Linked DNA regions of Arabidopsis thaliana. The protein of the gene in region 3 interacts with the protein of the main gene of each other region in a pairwise test. Each region holds a gene or a part of one and is shown on either strand. Other genes may lie near its edges.

Region 1 (8,831 bases), on a different chromosome or scaffold from region 3:
GACACGCTTGTTACATATCTATGGCGTGTTCATGGTCTGGACTATTACGGAAAGGTTGAAACAAATGAAGCTAAGGGTTTGCGGCATGTGAGAGCTGAAGGAAAAGTTTCTGATGCAAAAGGAGATGAGAATGAAAGTAAATTCGACTCTCATTGGCAAGAGAGGTTGAAAGGTCAAGATCCCTTGGAAGTGATGGCTGCCAAAGAGAAGATAGATGCTGCCGCTACTGAAGCTTTAGATCCACATGTCCGAAAGATTAGAGATGAGAAGTATGGTTGGAAATATGGTTGTGGAGCCAAGGGCTGCACGAAGCTGTTTCATGCTGCTGAATTTGTGTACAAGCATCTCAAGCTGAAACACACTGAGCTTGTCACAGAGCTGACTACCAAAGTTCGGGAAGAACTGTATTTTCAGAACTATATGAAGTATGTAGGCTTTTTCTCTTGGATTCCTCTACTGTCGTTTCTGACAGGTTCGTAATGAAATTTTTTTGTGCTATTTGCAGTGATCCTAATGCTCCAGGAGGACAACCAGCCACGCAGCAATCTGGCCCGGTACATGATCTTCTTTTGAGATTTAATGGAGTGTTGACTAGTCTGTACTTTTGGGTTATCACTTGTTTAGCTTGGTTTGAGTTTTATTTACGTGGGTTAATTATACTTTCAACAGAGAGATAGACCTATAAGACGTAAACCCAGCATGGAGAACAGACTGAGGGATGATAGAGGTGGACGCAGAGAGCGTGATGGACGTGCTAATGGAAATGACAGAAATGATCGGTCAGAAGATCAACAGAGAGGGGATAATGATGGTGGAAATCCTGGGGAAGTTGGGTATGATGCATTTGGTGGACAAGGTGGTGTTCATGTTCCTCCCTTCTTATCGGATATAAACCCACCACCAATGCTGATGCCTGTTCCTGGTGCTGGGTAGGTTTAATAAAGATTACTCACTCCCTTCATGATCTTGTTTTCAGAATAAATTAGTTACTGTGTTGAATCAATGATCTTAATGTGTCTGAATGATGATGTGGTCAGGCCACTGGGACCATTTGTACCAGCACCACCTGAAGTTGCTATGCAGATGTTCAGGGACCCAAGTGGACCCAACCCTCCTTTTGAAGGTAGCGGGAGAGGTGGACCTGCCCCTTTTCTGTTGTCTCCGGCCTTTAGACAAGATCCTAGACGGCTGCGCAGGTAACGTAGTTCACTCTGTGCTATGAGTCCATTACCCTATGATCAAGAGTGCAGTGTCTCTAAGGTACTAATGTATGAGAAATTTGGTGCAGCTACCAAGACCTAGATGCTCCAGAGGAAGAAGTGACCGTTATTGATTACAGGAGCTTGTAGACAAGACAGGGCTAGAGAGATCCCGAGTTTACTGGTTCGGGTTGGGTTAAAGGGCATCAGTATTAGAAGGCAAAGCTAGCAGATTGTGGCATTTTCTTACCCTTTTGATGTATTATGTCTTGTTCCTCCCAATTTTCACTCACTAAAGCGTAAAATACGCACTCCATACATTTCCTTATTGTTTTTCAAAATTTTTCATGTGCTTTCTTACTAATTCTGTTCGACGATGATTACATAAATAGCATGAGAATTTCTTGTATTGAATAATGCGTTTTATCCACATTGTTTGTTATCAATACTTAAGTCTCCATGGCAGTCTTAAATCTCCATGGCCATTAAATATAATCTGCAGTCAAACGAATGACTATCCACAAGAATCCAGGTTTTTAGGGTTCAATGTAAATAAGAAGGATATATACACTTCAAAGCCTGGCTCAATGCCTACCAGATTCTACACACTTGCGTAGATGACGTGACACTTACACATGTTACAATTACACATAAGGCATTGTATCGTAAATCTAACAACACTAATCACAGACGAGCTCTAATGAGGTTAACAACCATTTTCCAAAGTTTTCTTTTCCAGAGGTTGTTTCTCTCTCTCAACATCATTTGCGTTGCTTCTTTGCTTGAGATTCTGTTTGTAGCTCTCCCTGCAAATGCAAGATACCGTTTAGATACTCTATAAGACAATACATAGACCAAGTAATAGTTCAGGAACAATTATAGGTCGATATGAACCTAATTGATTGCTGTTACTATTACTAATTCAACTATCATTGGCCTTGTAATTATTTAATAACTACTACTTGGAAAAAGAAAAAGAAAAAGGGAGTGTGCCTACAACGATTGAGAGCTGCTCACGGATATAGGCCATTGATCTCAACATGGCACCTAGTGTATCTCGGGACACCTGAAACTTGACCTCTGATTCTCCTGTTGTTGTCTCGGTATCTTGAAGCTGGAGTAAGGAAAACAAAAGAAGATTTTTTCACACTGTTGAAACCTTCTAGTTCAATTAAGAGTCCCTAATATGGAGTAAAACATTGATTTTGGTAATCAAACATGAAATTTCATATTCAAGTAGTGACGCTAGTATAAATAACTGCAAAACGTATGGCAAGTTAACATGAATGAGAGAATCAGCTTAAACAAGTCAAACAACACAGAAGTTTCACACACTAACGGTAGATGGAATCTATGTTAGAACAAACCAAAGACAATCAATAAATTAAAAGGAGTTTAGTCAAGTCAAGAAGACTACATGAGAAGCTACGAGCCTAGAGTCTAAAAGACATACCTTCAAATTGATGACAGCTACTCTATTGGCTGGAGATGAAAGTTGCTCGCTAATGTAAGCCATGGACCTTAACATGGGTTCAAGTGTGACGCTAGACAGCTGAAATTTGACATCCATGTCTGCTGAGGGAAACTTTCTGTAATCGTGCAACTGAAAACATCATGAAAAATAATCCTCAGTAAAGCGGTCAACTACTATTTTGCAGGAACGAGCAAGACTATTAATGGCAACAACTTTGATTTTCCTACACTATAGCCAGTAACTTTTCCGAAAAGGCGAATGTCAATTGTTCAAATCTTCAAGATCATTATTCTTACAAATCTAATCTCTTTTAGATAAAGCATCCCATCAGACCAACTTTCAGTAAAAGTTACTGCAAAACCCTACAGAAAAGATTTACTGGTTCATATAATGCACACCTTTAAATTGATAACTGCAACTCTACCACCCGGCATTGTATTTTTACTCTCCATCCCCCAAGTCAATGACTTAAGACAAGGAAGAGCCACCTGTAAGACAAAGTAAATCAAGTTACTGACCAACACCAATAGAATCAAAGAAATAAGTCTGTGAAAGGTTTCCTCTGGGTACCATATTCTCAGGAGCAGTATCATCTCGGTGAAGTGACACTGGTGCCATACGCGGCAGATTCAGATCAGAAACAGATTGAGCTCTGGCCCCACCATCGTTAAGGTTAAATCTGCGTATCATTTCATCCTGGCGCGGCCACAGCAAAGGGGTTGTGTCAGCAGCTGATAGAGAGGTCTTGTCACCACTACCAATTCCACCACCATGTGAGCTAGGAGGCGCAGCTCTACCTATCCTTTTCCTGACAACTGAAACCTTCTTTCCACCTTCTCTGAGTTGCCCTAAAGCAATATTATAAGCTTCAGCTGTAATTGCCCCTTCCTCAGCATACTTGATGGCTTCGCGACATAAATGATTATAGCGGTGTATCGAGCTATCATGCCCATTTTCACTGACATGCTCATCTAACTCTACCATGCTCTTGGCATTTCTTGTCCACCGTCTCAAAATATAATGTGGTGGCAAAGTGAGTATATTAGTGACAGTAAACACCGTCAAAACATGTCGGCAGAGTATGCCGGAGTGCTCAAACATTTGACAGCTGCAGTTTGCTCTCATTTCAGGGTAGCAAAACGTTACTATATAAGCTTTGTTGTCATTTTCAAAATTTGCAACCCTAAATGTGCTGGTAGTACCATCATCTTCAATTCTGTTTGCCGTGTGAGCGAATGTCTCTACCAACTCTTCCTGGAACTTTCCAAATATTTTCCTTGTAAAGAGATTTGCAGCCTGATTCTCCATGGGTGATGGCGTCTTCAAGACTGGAGGTGTGTTGACAGTGTCAAGATCTGCTTCAATCTCCATCTCGAACCAGCTCTCCATAGCCCTTTCGTACAGCCTAAAGAACATCGGAAGGGTTGTCTGCTGATTCACATATCCATCGAAAAAGGAACCCGAATAACCTTGGCTAGGAAACACTGCAGCAAAAAACGAATCCCGGAAATAAACAGGTACCCACTGAGCTCGAGCATTATATAAAGAATTAAGCCATTCATGTCTTCCTAAGTCATATTTGTCAATGACAGAACTCCAGGACGATTCAAACTCCTCAATCGTTTCAGTAAAGTTGATACAATTATATAGCTCCACCTGAAAACTAGGATACGCAAGACACACATGAGCCAGCTTTTCCTGACCTTCTCTTAGCACATCCCACTTATTAATACAGTGACGAGCACCTGGAAATACCTGACCAGCAGCAATCTGTATGGCTCTATCTTGATCAGTCACCAAAGAAACCGGCGGTTGATCTCTCATTGCTGTTAGAAAAGTCTTGAACAGCCAGATAAATGAAGTGTCTGACTCGTCCAAAATAAGTGCACAGCCAAATAAGATAGCCTGACCATGATGATTCACACCAGTAAATGGCGCAAAAGGAACACGAAACTGATTGCACCTGTACCTCGTATCTAAGGTAACCGTGTCACCAAAATGAGTATAAGCAACCCTAGATCTCGAATCAGCCCAAAACACATTTGACATCTGATTATCTTCATCAAGCTGAACCGCATAGAAAAAGCCAGGATTCTCTGCCTGCATCCTCTTAAAATACTCCAACAGATTATGTGCATCCCGTCCAATCGTTCTCTTCGTGTTTGTAGCCATAGACGCATTTCTAGCTCCTCTGCTATTAGCATCCATAGAAACATACATCATACCACTAGGCACATTAACCCCTTCTTGATAACTAGATTTCTCCGAGTTAGCAAAATGCCTACGAGGACGAAGACAATGAAGCATATTAGAACTTGCTAATCCATGAGTATGCTCTTTAACAAACTTTGTAACAACCCATTTCTCATGACCTTGCAACTCTATCCTAACCATTGCATCACAACTCTCAGAAAGCCTTCTCTTTGACCTTTTACTACTACTACTACACACAAATTCTCGAACACTAACAGACCCATCAGTTCTAGGAAGAAGCTTAGAAGTAAAACCAAGCTGCCTCGAGTACTCATCATAGAAAGATTTAGCTTCTTTTTCTGAATTAAACTCCATACCAACACATGGCTCTGCAATTCCAATCTCATCTTGCACCCCTAACGAGTTATCCATGTTGTTCTGTCCACTGCAATCACTAGGTTCAACATCTCCTTCATCTCCTATCTCATGATTCCCCATTGACACATTCTCTTCCACCAAATGAACATCCATAACCTTCACTTAGTAGAGAAGTTCTAATTTCACACAAATGTTTCTCATCTTCATAGTCTACAAAAAAGTACTATTAGTGTTTGGAGATCTTCTTCCGAACATATAAATATGAGGACTTTTTGCATCTCTCACTCTCCGATTGTTTGTTGAGAGAGAGAGAAACCCAGAAAGAGGAGAAAGCAAAAGAGAGAAAGAGGAGCTTACGTCAGTCAGTGATGCGAAGAACTCAGAACTCAGAAGAATCGAAAGTCGTGAAATTAGGGAGAAGGGCAACAACAATTGGGGAAAATTGAGAAGAAGCTATGGCAGCTATTTCGTTTTCAGATTCGACCGGAGGAAATTAAACTCCTGCTTCTTCTCAGTCGTTCGCGAGGAAGAAGAGATTCAAGCACGAAACCGACGTCGTTTCGTGCTTTTGTTGGTTTTTTTTTTTCAATTTAAATAGCGAGACCTCGTTTTAATCTAAACCCAACAACAGAAAGCCCTCATAAAAAGTGAGGCCTCATTTGAACCGAACCCAACAACCAGGAAAGCCCTTGATACAAGAGACAACGCGCGCGAAAGCATTTCATCTTCTTCATCTGTCTTTTTTAGTTGAGCCCTAATTCATTTTCGGATGACAACTTCATTTCCTTGTATTGTCGTCATAAGAATCTCAGGTTCTAGATGATTCTCTCTTCTCTTATTTGATCTGGTTCCATCTCTTCACCGTACCAGTGTCAATCACGAATCCCTTTGTTTTGAACCCTAATTTATTTAATACGCAACACAAGCAATCAATACAAGAGTCTCTTAGCATCATCGGCGTGGGCCAAATATGAGCGGAAGGAGATGTGATCGGAGGTTGAATGTGCAGAAAGTTTCAGCGGCAGATGAACTCGAAACTAAACTTGGATTTGGGCTTTTCTCCCAAGGGGAAACGCGGCTCGGGTGGCTACTCACGTTTGCATCAGTAAGTCACGTTTTGTGACTTCCCTAGTAGTTAGTTCTCTGAATACTGAAAACTTCTAAGTACACTCACTGATTGGTTATTATACTACGTTGTTGGCAGTCATCTTGGGAAGATGCCGATACTGGGAAAACCTTTAGTTGTGTGGACCTTTTCTTTGTCACTCAGGTCAGCTGTGGTCATTGCTACTATATTAGCTTCTTTCTTCGTATCAGTTGCTCAACCCTTTTTGTTTCTTTCAGGACGGCTCTTCTTTTAAGACTAAGTACAAGTTCCGCCCTTACTTGTATGCCGCCACCAAAGTATATATGTTCTCTCTGTACTCGAGTGTTTTCTTCCTATATGTCAACTAAACTGCAATGCCCTTTTTACAGGACAATATGGAACTGGAAGTTGAAGCCTACTTGAGACGCCGATATGAAAGACAAGTTGCTGATATTCAGATTGTTCACAAAGAAGATCTTTATCTTGTAAGTCACTAAAGCATAACTCCTTTTACGCAGTTTGCAACTACCTGTTGATTACTCGTTTCTTTCTCTCTATATAGAGGACTCATGTCAATTACATTTGCTACAACTTTTAGTTATTTTCCTCTTCTTGCAACTTCAAATTGAGCAGCTCTAGTAATAAGTCCAAAACTGATCTTGCTTCCATGTGCTCAAATCATCTATCTAGCCTGCCAAAAACGTTCTTGTAACTCAAAAAACGTTTGCTAGTAAATGTTTAAGTGTTTAATGCTTCTTCTTTAGTGGCAACATTATGCAAGATATGAACGTTTTCAGTACCTCTTGTTTGGTTGTCACTTTTGCTGACCTTTTCTTTGACCTACCATACCAATTTGAGTTTCTTGATTTCTTATGTTCATGAGCAGAAAAATCATCTATCTGGCCTGCAAAAAAAATATCTCAAAGTATCATTTGACACTGTGCAACAATTGGTGGAAGTAAAGAGGGATCTGTTGCATATTGTCGAACGAAACCTCGCAAAATTTAATGCACTTGAAGCTTACGAATCCATCTTGTCTGGAAAACGGTAAGGCAATGTATTTTTGTTCTTATAAATTTCCAGAGTTCTTACAAATTTATCCCTTAAAACTATGTTGTTCCTTAGTTATAATTTCCAAGTCTTGGAATGTAGAGAACAACGTCCTCAAGACTGCTTAGACTCTGTGGTGGACCTCCGCGAGTACGATGTTCCTTATCATGTCCGATTTGCAATTGATAATGGTAACCTATTTAGTCAAACTTTTAATCCTAGTTTAGCCCTCAAGGTTGTCAAAATCATGATGTGTTCTCGCTGTCCAGATGTGCGTAGTGGGCAATGGTACAATGTCAGTATTTCCAGCACTGATGTCATACTAGAGAAGAGGACGGATCTTCTCCAACGCGCAGAAGTTCGCGTTTGTGCATTCGATATAGAGACAGTAAAGCTTCCATTGAAGTTCCCGGATGCTGAATATGATCAAATTATGATGATATCCTACATGGTTGATGGGCAAGGTTTTCTAATTACTAACAGAGAGGTAACTGCTGCATACATTTGTATTGCATTGGATTTGATCTAATCAATGATGATATATTACATGATGGATGATGACCGTTTCCAAATCATAAACGTAGATAAGCTGCTATATAGCCCTTATGTGAATTTGGATTATTTTGATTGCATTCTTAATCCAAGATAAATCAGATATGATCCATACGAAATTATCCCGCTTGTTTGATTGATTGATGTGTGACTGTAAGACTTATTGTTGTGGACTAACATAACGTTTTGCTATGTAATTTAAAACATGAATTTTTTTTCTTAACAATTTTCCATTGGATATATCATCTCTGGTTGATATCTCAGCTCTATTATTTCTTTTAAATATTTGGGCCACTTCAATCTTGTTTGATAAAATTTGTAGTATTAACTTTGCACTTCTTAATTCAGTGTGTTGGCAAAGACATAGAAGATCTGGAATATACACCCAAACCAGAGTTTGAAGGGTATTTCAAAGTCACGAATGTTACCAACGAGGTAAAGTAAATTAGCTCTTGATTTGAATATTTGTATCAGAAAGATTGAGGTGCTTAGAATTAAGTTACTTTCTTGGTTTTGATTTGTATAGGTTGAACTCCTCCGAAAATGGTTTTCTCATATGCAAGAGTTGAAACCTGGTATTTATGTTACATACAACGGTGACTTTTTTGACTGGCCATTTATAGAACGGAGAGCATCTCATCATGGGATCAAAATGAACGAGGTATCACGTTTCCTTCACTGTGGTATTGCTAACAAAATATTCTGTCTGCATCAAATATATGATCTACTTGAGAAATTCTTTGTGACATTATTCACTGATATTTTGTTGTCACCTTGTGAATGTGCCTCTGCTTAAAACTAGATTAGTAATGTGTTTTGCGTTTGAATTCTGAAGTTTTCTTAGAATTGGCAAGGTGGCACTCATCTACCAGACCTCGGTTCTATTTCCCATCCCCAG
Region 2 (6,770 bases), on a different chromosome or scaffold from region 3:
CACCTCCTCTCTTGTTTCCTGTTGTGTTCTTCAGAATCTACACCACATAAAAAACATAACAACTCAAAAGACTTTATTACCACACACACACATAGAGATCCAACTTTGCAATCTCATCTTCTCCATTCATATAGAACAAAATGAGTGAGCATTTCAAGAACCATTGAAGAATTTACATGCCTTTTGAGAGAATATGCGAGTGAATGACCATTTCAAGAACCTACATGCCTTCTGAGAATTAATCTAAAGCTTAAGTTAGCTTCTTAGATCCTTTTAACTAACTAAACTAATTATTGGTCAATCCTAGACTCGTAAATGTGATAAACCAGTACTGTGATATATCAAAAAACAAATGGCAAAAGCATTGACGTTGCAGGTTAAGTCAACAGTAAGATCGACAAAACGTACATGTCTAAGCATCTGGTTCTCGTTCTGAAGAGTAGAGAGTCGCTCTTCAAGTTCAGAGTTTTTGTTCTCCAAGTCTTTCACTCTGTTTTCCAACTCGCTCAAGTAAGCCTTTTTCCTCTCTCTTGCTTGCTGAGCTGAAACTCTGTTCCTCAACAACCTTTTCACCACAAAATTACCAAACAACCCCATCACGCAACCGTTATTTAACATAATCACCTTCCATATAAAGGGTAAAAATGTAAATTCAATGAATAGAGAAAAAGACACCTCTTCAGCCGCTTGTTCTCTTTCTCCGCCGGTGTCCTCCCTCGCTTCCTTTGACTTTCTCCGACAGTCGCCTGTGTCCGCTCCTGACCGGTCGCCGATCCAGATTCTCTACCGGAAGTTTCTTTTCCGACAGCTTCTCCTCCAAACTCCGGCACTCGCCGTATCTCCTCATCGCTTTCAATTCCTTTAAAACATAAAAGAGACTTTAGACGAAAAGTTTCAAACTTTTTAAATACAATAAAAAATTGCAGATCTTCTGGGGGAGACTAAAAGTTGTGAATCTAGATGTGAATCAATGGTGATACAAAATCTAGATGTGAATTTACTAGATATCCAATGCATGAGAATGAAAATCAATGAGATCACTCGTTGGGAGAAGATATGAAAATAAAACAATCGACAATTTTTGTTTACCTTCTTTGATCTCCAAATGTGGAGCAGAGCTTGATGACCTCTCGCTGCTTGATGGTAAAGAGCTTGCAGCTAAAGAGCTAGTCGCTTGTTCCTGCATTTTTCTTACTCTTTGAAGATCGATCAGGCGAGAGAGAGAGGGAAAGATTTGTTGTCTTAGTAGCGAAGCTGGTGAAAAGGATAAAGAGGAAAAGAGCGGGACTTGGGATTTACAGAAGAACTTGGAAAGAATCTAATTGCGAGACATTTTGGGAAGGAATAGATTACTCTGGCTACCGCCGTCAGATCTCTGAAGAATCGAACGGATATCGAGAGTGAATCGTGGAGAAAGGTGAGCCTTGAGGAAATACAAGGATCCAAAGGCAATTGAGATTGGAACGTGGGTGGATTTTAGCCGTTAGATCTGGTTAGCATCTTACGGTGAATAATGGATAGGGGAGCTAATTGGGTGGGCCCCATTCCTGTCCTTGGACAGAAAAGTTTGGTCTGAGTTCTTTCATTCTGTCACATGGCCCACGCCTAGGGCAGTGCTTTCAAAAGTGTCGTGAAAGTAATTTATTTTATTTTTGGTGATTTGTTTTTGTCATGCATTAAAATTAAACTTTATAGCCGCCATAAACCAAACAAAGTTGAAACGGTTTTCTACAAGACACAATCTCAGCAAGGAAATAACTAAAAACTGAATACAAGATATCCTAAAATTTCATAGTCCAACATATCCAGCCACACCATTGGACAGAATCTACTACTATAAACACTCCTCGTATCACCAAAAAAACTTGTCCTTGACGACAATGTTGATGAGTTTCTGAGAATCAAGTATACAAATCATTGCCATCTCAACGTTAACATTAGATCAAACCGGAGCTTGATATGGAGCTCGCTTATCTGGAACTCCGTCTTCTGCTCTTTTATCTTCGAACCACTTCAAAACTCGCTTCCTTGGAAGATTGGTCACTTGAACAATGCTGCTAACCACAGCATTCTATTCACAGCATCATCAAACATGATCATATGTGAGATAGAGCATTCAAGTAACATAGAAATTGATTCAAATGTAAAAGGAGAATCCTTACAGTGGGTCGTTTTGATCTTCTGTAAACTTTCTCTAGCGTTTCAATGTGAGCTTTCTTCACTCTTTTCTGAGCAGACCATCTCTGTTGCATCACATGAACTGCTTCATCTTTTACTTTTTCCTTAGGTTCGACCACAACATCTTCAGCTGATAATGATTCCACAGGACTTGGATCAGGTGAGGAGTTCTCAGGTGCTGCTACTGGCGGTTTTTCATCTGGTAGTGTAGCACTTAGCATTAGCAGCTTTGGAGGCGGGTCACGAAGCAATTCAAGAACATAAGCCCTGTCAAGACAAACCTCAGCTGCCAGATTTTTAATCTACAGATCACAACAAAACCATCCGTTATCAATTATGCATTTGAAAACCAGAGAACTACTTGTTCTTTGTCAACTCTTAAACAATTCGTAAGCAAAATCTCCAAAGCAGACACTAACTCAAGCACTATGCTTTACACAATGTATTCAACATCACTTCAACACTGAACTAAAACTTACACTAGTTTTACGACGCCCAGCTTTCAATGCATAAGCCAGTCTTTTAAGCTGCCAATTCTTCAGCTTAGTCGGTCTTTCATCTTCTTCGCTGTCATCATCATCATCATCATTATCATCATCATCATTATCATCATCATCATTATCAACATCAACATCAACATCACCAGTGACTGAACCAAACAAGTCGATGTCATCAACATCGTCACCAACACCCAATGCTCGAGCTAACTCATCGGCTAATGCCTCTAACTCTTCCTCACTTATCTCCTCATCATCCGAGTTATCATTCTTCAAATCTTCTTCTAAAAGATTAAACAATGCCTCAAATGGATCCTCCTCCTCCTCACCTCCTCCATTATCAGCTCCATCCAAACTTTTCTGCCACAAACCATGAAATCAAAGGCTGATACAAAATCAAAAAGAGCCAAAGTCTAATTCGAGGATTCACCAATTCTAACCGATAATAGCTCACTTAGTTAGTGTATCCAAATTCTAGTCAAATTCGGCGAAAGCAGCAGGTAAGAGCAATTGCGAACATAAATCATTCTCATTCTGATTTTCTTACCTTTTTGTTTTTCTTCGGAGACGAAGAAGACGAAGACACGAATCCTTTTCGATTCTTGCCACGAGCAAAAACAAGTACAGACCGAGACGGATTGAGAATTGGAAGAGATAGACCACAAGGACTAGCGTTCCGATTCCGAAACAGAACTCTGTTGACGGATAATCCTGACGACGAAGAAAACGACGGAGGATGAAGATGAGAGACGACGCCGGCAGAAGATAGAGCCATGGCTTTTATCATCAAAACTGTTTGCTGTTTTCAGCAGCAGTGAGAAAAATAATCGGATTTTTATATGAATCTTTGTAAACGACGTCGTTTATCCCTTAAAGATCTAAACACTGACTCCGTTTTGTGTTTACAGTGTAGCAAAGCGTGTCGTTTATAAAGTATTTATTTTGTTCTTCGTCGTTATCGTCTGGTAACAACGGGTCCACTCTGCATCTCTCTCTCTCTCTCTAGATTTGATTTCTTTGCGGGCTTGTTAATGGCGAACCCAGGGCAATCAAAGGGATGGATAAAGAAATGGACGTCTATGGCTTCATCGGTTTACTTCGTCTTGATCTTATTCCAGATCCCTCTCTTCAGGTAAATTCATACTAAAACAAACTCTCAGCTGCGTAATTCGAACCCTATATTTCGTTATCTAGTGATGCGTCTATGAATCCGATATGTGGACGACGCTTAGTCTTTCTCTTGCGTAAGGTTGATTAATGAAAAACTTGATTTCTGATTCATTTTCAAGTTTCCGCATTTTTGTGTAGCTGGTTTTAGTATGAAACTCTAAGCTGATTCAAAATTTTATCAGTTGATTAGAATCTTAATAATATGGATCATTAGTCATTACTTGGTTTGTTTGTCTCTCTGGTTGATCTGACTTGAATCGTAATCTTAAAAACAGAGTTCCATGTAGATCTGGTATGTGTTCATCGCCAATCCATGTGACATCGTCTCAGTTGATTTCTAGTGAGATCTTTCCTGTTCCGATGATTAAGGCTCTCTTATACCCTGGTGCTGTAGTCAATGGCCTTGCCATCAACATGACATTTCCAAAGTGGGAAAATGTGTTAGATATCTACAATCTCACCAATGTGAAAGAAGCTTCTGCAGTGACCGATCTTCAACGCCTAGAGGTTCGCTTATTCTATCTCAAGAGCTCCTAACACAGTTCACTTAAGATTCTACTAATAGTCTCACAAGTGATACATTTTGTACAGGTTCTTGCAGGGAGCTACTTTTCTGTAGCTGGGGCGTTTGTGGGTTTGCTAAAGCCTGGAAGGATGAGCATGTTTGGGTCATTGCTACTAGTATGGGGTCTTGTTAAAGAAGGGATCTTAGGGAAGCCAGTAAATACTGACCCAGCCAAAACTGTTTATGTGTACCCAACTATGGTGCTTGCGATGATCTGCGCTTTCTCTATGATAAAGTATGACTTGAGGAAAGCCACGAGGGCAGCTCCAGCTCGTCCCATTGCTAAACCTCTAATGAGCTCTTCAAAATCTAAGCTGAAGTGAGTTTTTTGAGACTTAATAGGGCTTGTGTCCTGTCTTTGTACCAACACCCGGGAAAGGAAAATGTCCCGGAAAATGGCATTGTCACTATATTTTGCTCTCAGTTACCTTATGTTTCATGAATTGTCTATTTTCTAGGACACTGCTCAGTAGTCAATATCTTCCAATATCAAAAAAGCACATAAATACGAAAATTGAAATGAGTAGCAATACAAGGGGTTCCAATGAAAAACCATCGTATTGCTTCCAGTTTCATAATTCGTCCATCTTGCTCTTCAACTTGTTCGTGTAACAGCTTATTAACTGTAGTTTTTGAGGAATGAATCCTTGATAAAGTCCCCCCTTTCCCCATATAATATAGCGTCTCTTTACTTAACCGAAAAGCCTATAACATTCACCACGAGAGGTTCGGATGACTTGGTTAAGTCCTACCAATGGTATGCGTTTCTTGGTCAAATGAAATAGTGTTTTTGAAAGGCACAAACGATTTGCCATTGACATTTTCAATTTCTGACTAATTCTTTATCAATTTCTTTCTCCAGTAGTGCAAGAAACAAGTTTTCTCTCATCTTTACAGAATTCAAAGCTCTGGTGTAGTTGAAGTCATATAAGACATGGATCAGAATCAGGGTATTACAGTCCTTCCAGGTGATGCCCTTGTGGATTCCATCAAAGAGAACTTGGAATCTTTGTCTTCTCTTTCAACCAACTGTTGTATCTATAAGGCACCTGAGAGGCTGCGCAGATTGAACCCCGATGCTTATTCGCCTCGGGTTGTGTCGATTGGACCCTTACACTACGGTAAAGAAGAACTTCAAGCCATGGAAGATCATAAACTTAGGTACCTACAGAGTTTTATTCCTAGAACAGCCTTAAGTTTGGAAGACCTGGTAAGAGTTGCAAGGACATGGGAAGAAAGGGCTCGCTTTTGTTACACAGAAGATGTAAGACTTAGTAGCGATGAATATGTGAAGATGTTAATCGTTGATGCAAGCTTCCTAGTAGAACTTCTTTTGAGGTCTCAGTTTGATGTATATAGAGGTATGCTAGATAGGATATATGGGAAGCAAAAGATGATTGTCGATGTGAACCATGACGTTATGTTACTTGAAAATCAGCTTCCATATTTTGTTGTCGAGGGGATGTTTGGATTGCTACATGTTGACTACCATAGGGAACTTCCCCCTCTGACTCGAATCATTCACAACCACTTCAAGAAATTCTGGATGAGCATCCCTTCATTTTCGAGAAGCATTTCTGATTCAAAGATCTGTCATTTTGTTGACCTTCTGCGATCTATTCACCTGCCTTTGGTTTTGAGTTTTCCTGGAGGAAGCATGAGGATGATGGACTCTGTACTGAGTGCAAAAGAGATTCAAAATGCCGGTGTTAAGCTCCAGCCCGCAGATAACAACACCTGCGCACTTGACATAAGCTTTGCAAACGGAGTCCTCACGATTCCCAAAATCAAGATCAACGACATCACAGAATCTCTGTACAGAAACATCATCTTGTTTGAGCAATGTCATCGTTTAGATGCTTACTTCATTCATTATATGAGGTTCCTCAGTTGCTTCATAAGATCTCCCATGGATGCTGAGTTGTTCATTGACCACGGGATCATTGTGAACAGATTTGGAAATGCAGAAGACGTTTCGAGGCTGTTCAATAGCATATTGAAAGAGACAAGTTACAGCGGGTTTTACTATAAGACAGTCTATGGGAATCTACAAGCGCATTGCAATGCGCCTTGGAACAAGTGGAAAGCAACTCTGAGACGTGATTATTTCCACAATCCTTGGTCAGCTGCTTCTGTTGTGGCTGCCTGTGTACTTCTCCTTCTTACTTTCGTTCAGGCTATATGCTCTATATTAGCTTTATGACTTGTGAGACAGTAAAGGATAATCAAATGTTGGGAAAGAGGAATGTTATATATGCAGAGAATCTTGTAACAGAAGCAACATAAGATTACCAGTTATGTGTGTGGGTTTGTTGAATGTTGTATGTGAATCCAGTCGCCATTAGACTGAGATTAGGGAG
Region 3 (7,442 bases):
TCCATATTTGACTTCAACTTCTCTGCAACACCTTTGACCTGAAAGATATATTAATGTCAGCATCAAGAAACCTTCCTATTTATGGAATGTGTGAGTCTTGAATCATACCCCTCCATATTGCTGCAAATTGGACATGTTCTGGTTCCTTGTCATAGACACAAGCTTTTCAAGATCAATGTCAAAGTTACCAGTAGAAGCTGCTGGTGTTGATGATCCAAACGCTAATTGATACCAAAAGAAACTAAAGATTATTCAACAAGAAACCAGAAAACAAAACAGAGATTTGCTTGACTTATAAGAGATCATACCAATTTGTTGTTCACCAGCCAGTTTAAAAAGCAATGCTGCCTGATTCATAAAAGTGATTTATCGATGTGAGATTCAATTAAACAAACAACATTGTTGTTGAAATGATAGGAAGAATTATATAAAGAAAATACATACCCTAATGACTTGAGCATGAGCTCTGATCATCCTCCTTCGATTATCATAATGTTCTTCTTTATTAAGATCCAAAGTGTATCGAAACCGACGCGATGCGTTCAACACAAGAGCGGCTTGTCTCCAACGACGAAGAGATTCAACAGAAGCGTTCTTGGTGTTATCAATATCAAAAGGATCATCAGGATCATGTTGAAGCTCTTCATGATCAGAATGTTCTTCAGTTTTAGCAGAACCAGCTTCCATGTCGTCATGACGTCCTGACATTGACGTCAGAAGCAATCCGTTGCTCGACGAAGTGCTCATTCTTCCTTCCTTCGTCTCACCCAGCTTTCTTCTTTCTTTTAAAATTCTATTGAAGAATTCGAAACAAAAAACGCAGAGAAAGAAAAAATAGGAACGACCGGTTTTATGATTTGGTCGTTATGGAGAAAAAAAATGATGGTGTGACGGAAGAGAGAAGGCCTAACTCGAGAGAAGGCAACAAAAACCGAAACACTTTCTCTCTTTTTTTTCTCTTACCTCTCTGTCAATCACAGAGAAAAAAAAGAGAAACTAATTTTTGAGTTTCTAACCAACATTAATATTTTGATTTACCCTAAAAAAAAACTATGAAAGAAAATGGAGAGAGGGTTCAAATTGAATGAGATCATTACTATTTTTGGTTTGGTTTGGCAAAATTTGTGGGAAGTTAGTTTTTTTTTGTTTCTTTTTATGGGAAAGAGAAGAAGAAAGAGTTTTTTCCGGGTAAGAAGAAGAAGAAGAACATGGTGGCATCTCTTAACATGGCATATATCTAACCATCTCATTTTTTAAAACAAAAATCTTTCCTTCTTCTCAGATCTAACTATGTTTTCGTTTTGTAATAAGTGGTATACCATTCATCTTTATAACTTATAAAATTATTCTAGTATTCTGATATACTATTGTTCACCTCGTATCATGTGAAGAATGGTACACTAATTATCTTCATACCTTAATCAGTTCTTTCTAATCAAGTTTCCAATAAAGATAATGGAAAAGAATAAAACAATGTGACAGAGAGAATAGTGAAGTTGCTGAGAAATTTCGTTTTAACCTGATGAACGTGTGTACGACATTAAGGTCACTTGGGTTGCACGACATAACCAATCATTGTTTCTATTTTTATACATAGATTGCATTATCTCTACTAAGTCTTAAATATTTAACTAATTGTAATCAAATACAAGAACAAAAAAAAGTTTTCTGCCTGAAAATATAATCAAACACACAGATGAGAGACTGAGCAAAGTTTTTTTTTTCTTTTCTGATGAGTGAGCTTCTAAATAAGTGAAGAGTGTCTTATAATTTGTAGAAGACTAAAATGTGCCCACATAGACTGAGATTAACCCAGAGAAACCCTAAACACAACTCAGATTCGATTCCATCATCAAATGAAATGATAACAACTGTTTTTGTTTGAGATCCTTTCTTGCTTCCAATGGTTTCTCAGTTCTCACTGTGTGTTGCTAATGTCACCAGTTACTTCCATCATTTGATCAGCCTCAAGATTTGCGTCCTGCAACAAAAGTGATTGAGAAAAAAAAAATGAATGTATGTTCTCTTAATAAGCAAATCAAAACTCCAGCTCTATGAAATACTGCGCTCACGGCTCACCTCATTCTTATTCAGAGATAGATGCTGAGGTGTTTGCGGAGGAGGGACTTTGGATAGGTCTCTAAGAGTCCCCTGATATTATAAAGTCAAAGGGAATGTTATTGTTAGGTTCATACTCGGATATATAGGCCTGATCAATGAGTCAAAAAAGTGATACGAGACGAGGTGATCAATGTGAACTAAGAAACTCTTAGCTTACCTTGTTTGCCCACATCAGTCCACACGCATTACAAAGTGTTCTTGGCCCATCAGGTCCACGTCGCATCATTGGAGTTGACTTCTCACTTGTTCCACAGTGTCGACATCTTAACATGTTCACAACCATTTGACGAAGAATAAGAACAGAGACAAGCTTTCCAAGTATACCAAGCTATAAATAAGTTCATATCAACTACAATGACTTAACATGCAACAACATAGTCGGTTCAGTTATTTTTATCCTCTCACAAGTATAAGTTATCAGTTGCAGGTATCGAATGAGTGATGCCATCATGATAAGTATAACTATAAATTTCAGAGTTGACGTATATAGACAAAGTTTATGGAAGTGAAAAGAGCGTCATTAAATGGTTACCAAATAAATTGTTTCCATGTATTAGACTTAATTGAGGTTTTATAACGAGTTCACTAAAGTTAATATAACTGTTGTAAGAAATTTAAAGCATTTTCAACTTACAAAACCTCTGGCTTCTGAGTCTCAGTCCCTTCTACGGCCCAGCTCTGGTTTGACCCCCAATCCGATCCAGTGGATCCAGAATCATCATTGCTTGATTTAGCCGACGTGAACTGACCTTTCTTACGCTGCATTCTGCATGAACAAACAAAACCTTAATTGCAAAACAGACGTATCTCAAAAGCTCGACATACACAAAAGCTAGTACTTGACATAAACGTACCTCAAGGCTACTTCTTTCCTGACTGTATAGCGAATAGTCTTATCAAAGTTCCTCCCTTTTCGTTTCTCCCTAAACCTGAGCAAAGAAGCTAACCGCTGCGGAACGCTAAGCCGTTGAGGAGTACCAGATAGACCCTGGTTCATTTATTAGTCAGCAACAAACTGGGGAATAAACTGATTTCCCATATGGTATTAAATCTTTTATTACCAGTACCCTATTGTTCTGATGAGGTGATCCTAGGGTTGTTGGGAGTGTATGTGGTACTTCCCTTCCACCAAGTAACAAAAGCACAGCTTGAACCTGCATAATATTGAGCAGCACTTCAATAAGCGAAAAACAAAACCAACCAGGTGGATACGTTGACCATATGTATCCAAAACTAAAACATCAAAGAACCAAAATTAACTTAAAGTTACCTTCTCAGGCGAGACACGGTCAAAAACATAAACTTGTCCCTGGAAGGACAATGTCAATTGATCTCCATTTTCAATTCCACGGTCTACAACTTCACCACGATTATCAGCTGAGTTTCCAGGGTGAGAAGGAATGTCTGTCTCCACTCCTTCATCCATCCCACCATCAGCATGGTCATCCATCATACTGTTTTCATTGTCGATATGGTGCAAACCGTGATCTTCATACTGCACATGCATTGGATTTTGCGCTACACCAATGTGCATTCGACCATTTCTTCCATGAAGATCATCCATGGTCTTTTTTCTGCAATTTGTTACCAATTACATCCAAAGGAAGATAACATTAATTAAGACTGGAACGTTCTTAATAACGAAAAAGCGAGATTGTCAGAGACGGTATAGGTTGAAGAAACTCAATAATGGTGGATATATTCTCACATAAATTGAGTTTGCAAATACAAAGAAACTATCTCCACCTAAGGGAAAGGAACTTCATTAATAGTTATCAGCACTGATATAGTACAAAGGAGCTTCTTTTATAACAAGAGTAGATGACAATAATCTAATCTCGAGTAAACAACAACTAACAACAGTCAACTACCTTAAAACGTAACAATATCTACCCAAATCCAGTAAAAAAAGTTTCATCAATCAGATTCGAATTGGAAAAAAAGTCTCCTTCTCTCATGCTCATAAGTCCTAAGCTAAGTCCCAACCTTTAAGCTAAGAACAAATAGACAGAACAATTCCAAATCCCACATATAAATGCTTCCAACTAAAAACCCTCCAAATTCGACAAGTTCATCTACAAACTAGAACCCACTACCTATATCATACATACAAAGACTTGTCACTTGGACAGGGCAATCAAAACAATAAACCAAAATTGACATCAAATGGGTACCTTTTGTGCAGAGGAATCCAAGCGAGAAGAATGAAGAGCCTTTGCAGAGCTAATTCACGCGAAACAATGAAAGATAAAGAGGATTTGATTATACAAAGAGAGAAAAAGGTTTAGGGAAAAATCCCAAAAGGGTAAACGGAGACGAGAGCGAAAAAAGGAAGCTCCTTTGATTTTTTTTTTCTTTTTTGGTCTAATGATTGTAGTGAAAGATTTTTCATTTTTCTTCAGCAAACGTCGTCGTTGTGATCTTGGGCCTTTTTTAGCCAAACGGCGTCGTCTTTGTGAAAGGCTTGACACTCCCTATTCTTTGGACCTCATCTTTAATTGGCCTCTATTTGAGTTCATATGTTTTTCTTTAGTGGTTTCAGGTTTGATCAAGATACACATTTACTCTTAATGATGCCAAAGATATAAAGACATTGGAGATGGTTTAAGGTCGCCAAGGTTTTTCACATAATTCTTTTAATCTCTTTTGTCAAGATATCTTTCTTTTACCAAATGACAATGTGGAATTACATTAGTTAATTCAATTTGTACCCATCTTTAAAAACTTCTTGTTGTTTTGGTTAGAAATCATATATAATTATAATATATCTCTACAAATAAACCATCTTAACACAAAATATCTTAAGTTAGATGGAACCACAACCAATTCTTCGGTGGAAAACAATTGACTCAACTATATCTAATATGTCAGATTTTAAAACTAAATTGCGTTCCTCTTTCATTTCTTAATTCCACAATATACAATTTTATTTTGATTTTATTTGCTTTTCCCTTATTCTTGCACAAAATTTACATATGTTTTGCTCTAATATGTTCTAAGCATTTCTAATTTTTTTCCTTTTCAAAATTTTGGTACTTAATAACTAATTGACCAATTATGAAAATGCCATGTGCCTCGAATTATCCACTAGCAAAAGGGTAGCAACAAGTTATAACTTAGAAATGCGTACATATATCTTACTTATAAAATATCAAGAGTTAGATTAGATAATGCATAGACTAGTGTGACAATTACAAGGCCATGCACTGGCTGACTTGGTGCCTCCTCCAAAGAACTAAATACCATGTTGAATTTGAACCAAACTTGGAACATATATGAGGAGACGTGGGGTAGGAGATAATTCATGTGTAGGTTTTGCACCATGATGATCCAATTCTATGAATTTATCATTTTCCACAATGTGTATGATGTCCTTGGAGTGCCGGTTGGGTCTATGACAAGAAACTACAACAATCTTCTCCTTAACTTGGTATGCGAAGAAACTCACCCCTTCCCTAAAATGACAACGATAGCGTAGACCAACTCCGCCCCGCAGTATTGGGAACTTGCTCCATGACATTGCTCTGGTGTTCTCACTAGTCTTCGTTGCTATCCATAAGTTAACGTTTGTTCCGGTTACGTATGTGTAATTAGTAGATAACATACAAAGTCGTTTCCCTTGTCTAGTCACTGATAAAGCCAAATGACTATCACCCTCTGGGAGAGACTCACTTCCAAATCTCTCTGTTGAGAAATCAAAACTTAGTAAGAATTGTTCACTAATATCAAACCAGTAAGTGATTCCATTTACAGACACGCCACTGGTGATATTTGGATTGAACAAGCCGGTGATCACACCAATACTCCTCCACGAATTAGAGTTAAAGTCATAGATTTCGTACTCGTAACGTTCTTGGCTATTGTTGATAACAAGATCCTCCCCCACGATGTTGTACACGTAACGTTCTTCGCTAGGATTGATAAGACGACCCTGCCTCAAGATTTTGTACTTGTTGCAAGAGGATCTACCGAGAGCATAGCAGTCATCTTTCTTGTAGCAAAATCTTGGTTGAATCCACCTTGTTTCACCTGAAAGCGGATTCCAAACCACCAGTCTATAGTCCTTGGTGGTGCATAGCAATAAGCCATCGCAGTGAAAGACGTGGCCTATATCGACTTCTGTTGAATAATTATTAGAAAGATGTTCTTTTAGGCTAAAATGACATGTTATGTTAACATATGGAGCAACGCTATTGTGAATTCCACGGAGATTGGATCTCACTGAATAAACCTTATGATCAATCAACACGAGAGCCATAGAGTGCCTTGGAGCATTAGAAGAGTGCTTCTTAGAAAGTTTCCCATCTTTGATCAAAGTGTTCCATCGTTTGGATGTTGATCGTAATCGTGCTAGAAATACAGCCGGAACTCTAGAGAGTATCTCCACTACCAAATCCTCCGGAAGGTCGTTGAACGTCATCATCTCTCACACGACTGTGATTAAACCAATTTTCAAAGAATCAAGATGGAGAGACGATAGAATCAAGATTTTTAATCTTCTTCTTTTTTTTTCTTTGATTTACTCTATAAATATGGGAAGATCATTTATATATATAGGAAGGAGGAGATCACGTAATTGTCTTTTATTTTATCCTTTACACTAATAAATATGGAGATTTTTTCTTTTTGTCCACACAGATTTTTAACTTCTTTTTTTCCTAAATTTAATTCTTACTATCTTTCTTTTTTCTCAACATTTATTTATCATTATTAATTTTTTCTATTTCTGTGGTTATAATTTTGTAACATTAAAAGCATATTCAATTAAAATTAAATGTAAATAATTTTATATAAATATGGGAAGATCATTTTTTTTCTTTTTACTTACTCAATAAATATGGGAAGATCATATATATACTTAATATATTTCTATTGTATAACTCAAAATGCTTCTAAGTAATAATTGACTTGTGGGGTTATATCTTTGAACATTATATATCTCTGCCCTACTCCTTTAATTTTTCATGAAGTCATCATACTTACATATTTAATAGACTAATAAATTAAAATGTGTATTTCACTAAAAGTTTGATAAATCAATTCTCATTTTGCATTTGCTAATGTACCTGAATCTATCTACCTATAGTCCCAAGGCACTTGTAAAATAAAATTGGCCTTATGAAATTTTACAAACTAGTATATCCTTGAAAACCAAGATTTTTGATCAAAATGTAAATGAGGCCAGGAACCAAAACCTATCCAGAAAATATCATCTTCCGAGTCAATGAAACCTATGTGACATGCAACTCTATAACCATATCAAATTACACAAAAGACGCAAAGCCAATGTGATAATTAGGATCATTCATAGACCCACCAAG

Evidence for each region.
Region 1: the proteins of ZML1 (region 3) and FRS3 interact in binary tests that used the Arabidopsis thaliana proteins (3 or more experiments, as listed by UniProt).
Region 2: the proteins of ZML1 (region 3) and OCP3 interact in binary tests that used the Arabidopsis thaliana proteins (3 or more experiments, as listed by UniProt).

Annotation. Positions count from the first base shown.
Region 1 is NC_003071.7:11,575,009-11,583,839, forward strand, and holds FRS3 (FAR1-related sequence 3), read right to left. Parts: upstream 5,810-8,831; 5' UTR 5,398-5,809; coding exon 3,244-5,397; intron 3,162-3,243; coding exon 3,072-3,161; intron 2,803-3,071; coding exon 2,653-2,802; intron 2,314-2,652; coding exon 2,197-2,313; intron 2,006-2,196; coding exon 1,961-2,005; 3' UTR 1,660-1,960; downstream 1-1,659. Other genes in the region: SE (C2H2 zinc-finger protein SERRATE (SE)), read left to right, coding at 1-425, 506-554, 670-929, 1,038-1,196, 1,289-1,349; TIL2 (DNA polymerase epsilon catalytic subunit), read left to right, coding at 6,215-6,349, 6,449-6,514, 6,589-6,648, 6,721-6,816, 7,218-7,378, 7,484-7,572, 7,651-7,868, 8,282-8,368 and 1 more.
Region 2 is NC_003076.8:3,593,615-3,600,384, forward strand, and holds OCP3 (overexpressor of cationic peroxidase 3), read right to left. Parts: upstream 3,624-6,770; 5' UTR 3,463-3,623; coding exon 3,223-3,462; intron 3,036-3,222; coding exon 2,658-3,035; intron 2,481-2,657; coding exon 2,163-2,480; intron 2,072-2,162; coding exon 1,943-2,071; 3' UTR 1,660-1,942; downstream 1-1,659. Other genes in the region: HY5 (Basic-leucine zipper (bZIP) transcription factor family protein), read right to left, coding at 304-565, 676-859, 1,090-1,186; AT5G11280 (tail fiber), read left to right, coding at 3,707-3,807, 4,121-4,352, 4,437-4,733; AT5G11290 (transmembrane protein, putative (DUF247)), read left to right, coding at 5,345-6,613. UniProt on the Arabidopsis thaliana protein: May modulate chromatin structure by regulation of nucleosome assembly/disassembly.
Region 3 is NC_003074.8:7,419,075-7,426,516, reverse strand, and holds ZML1 (ZIM-like 1), read right to left. Parts: upstream 4,482-7,442; 5' UTR 4,296-4,481; intron 3,696-4,295; 5' UTR 3,686-3,695; coding exon 3,392-3,685; intron 3,276-3,391; coding exon 3,183-3,275; intron 3,110-3,182; coding exon 2,976-3,109; intron 2,888-2,975; coding exon 2,756-2,887; coding exon of another isoform or gene 2,752-2,755; exon of another isoform or gene 2,385-2,751; coding exon 2,279-2,384; intron 2,152-2,278; coding exon 2,080-2,151; intron 1,982-2,079; coding exon 1,919-1,981; 3' UTR 1,612-1,918; downstream 1-1,611. Other genes in the region: ACA9 (autoinhibited Ca(2+)-ATPase 9), read right to left, coding at 1-38, 109-221, 309-348, 445-747; AT3G21170 (F-box/associated interaction domain protein), read right to left, coding at 5,357-6,544. UniProt on the Arabidopsis thaliana protein: Transcriptional activator that specifically binds 5'-GATA-3' or 5'-GAT-3' motifs within gene promoters.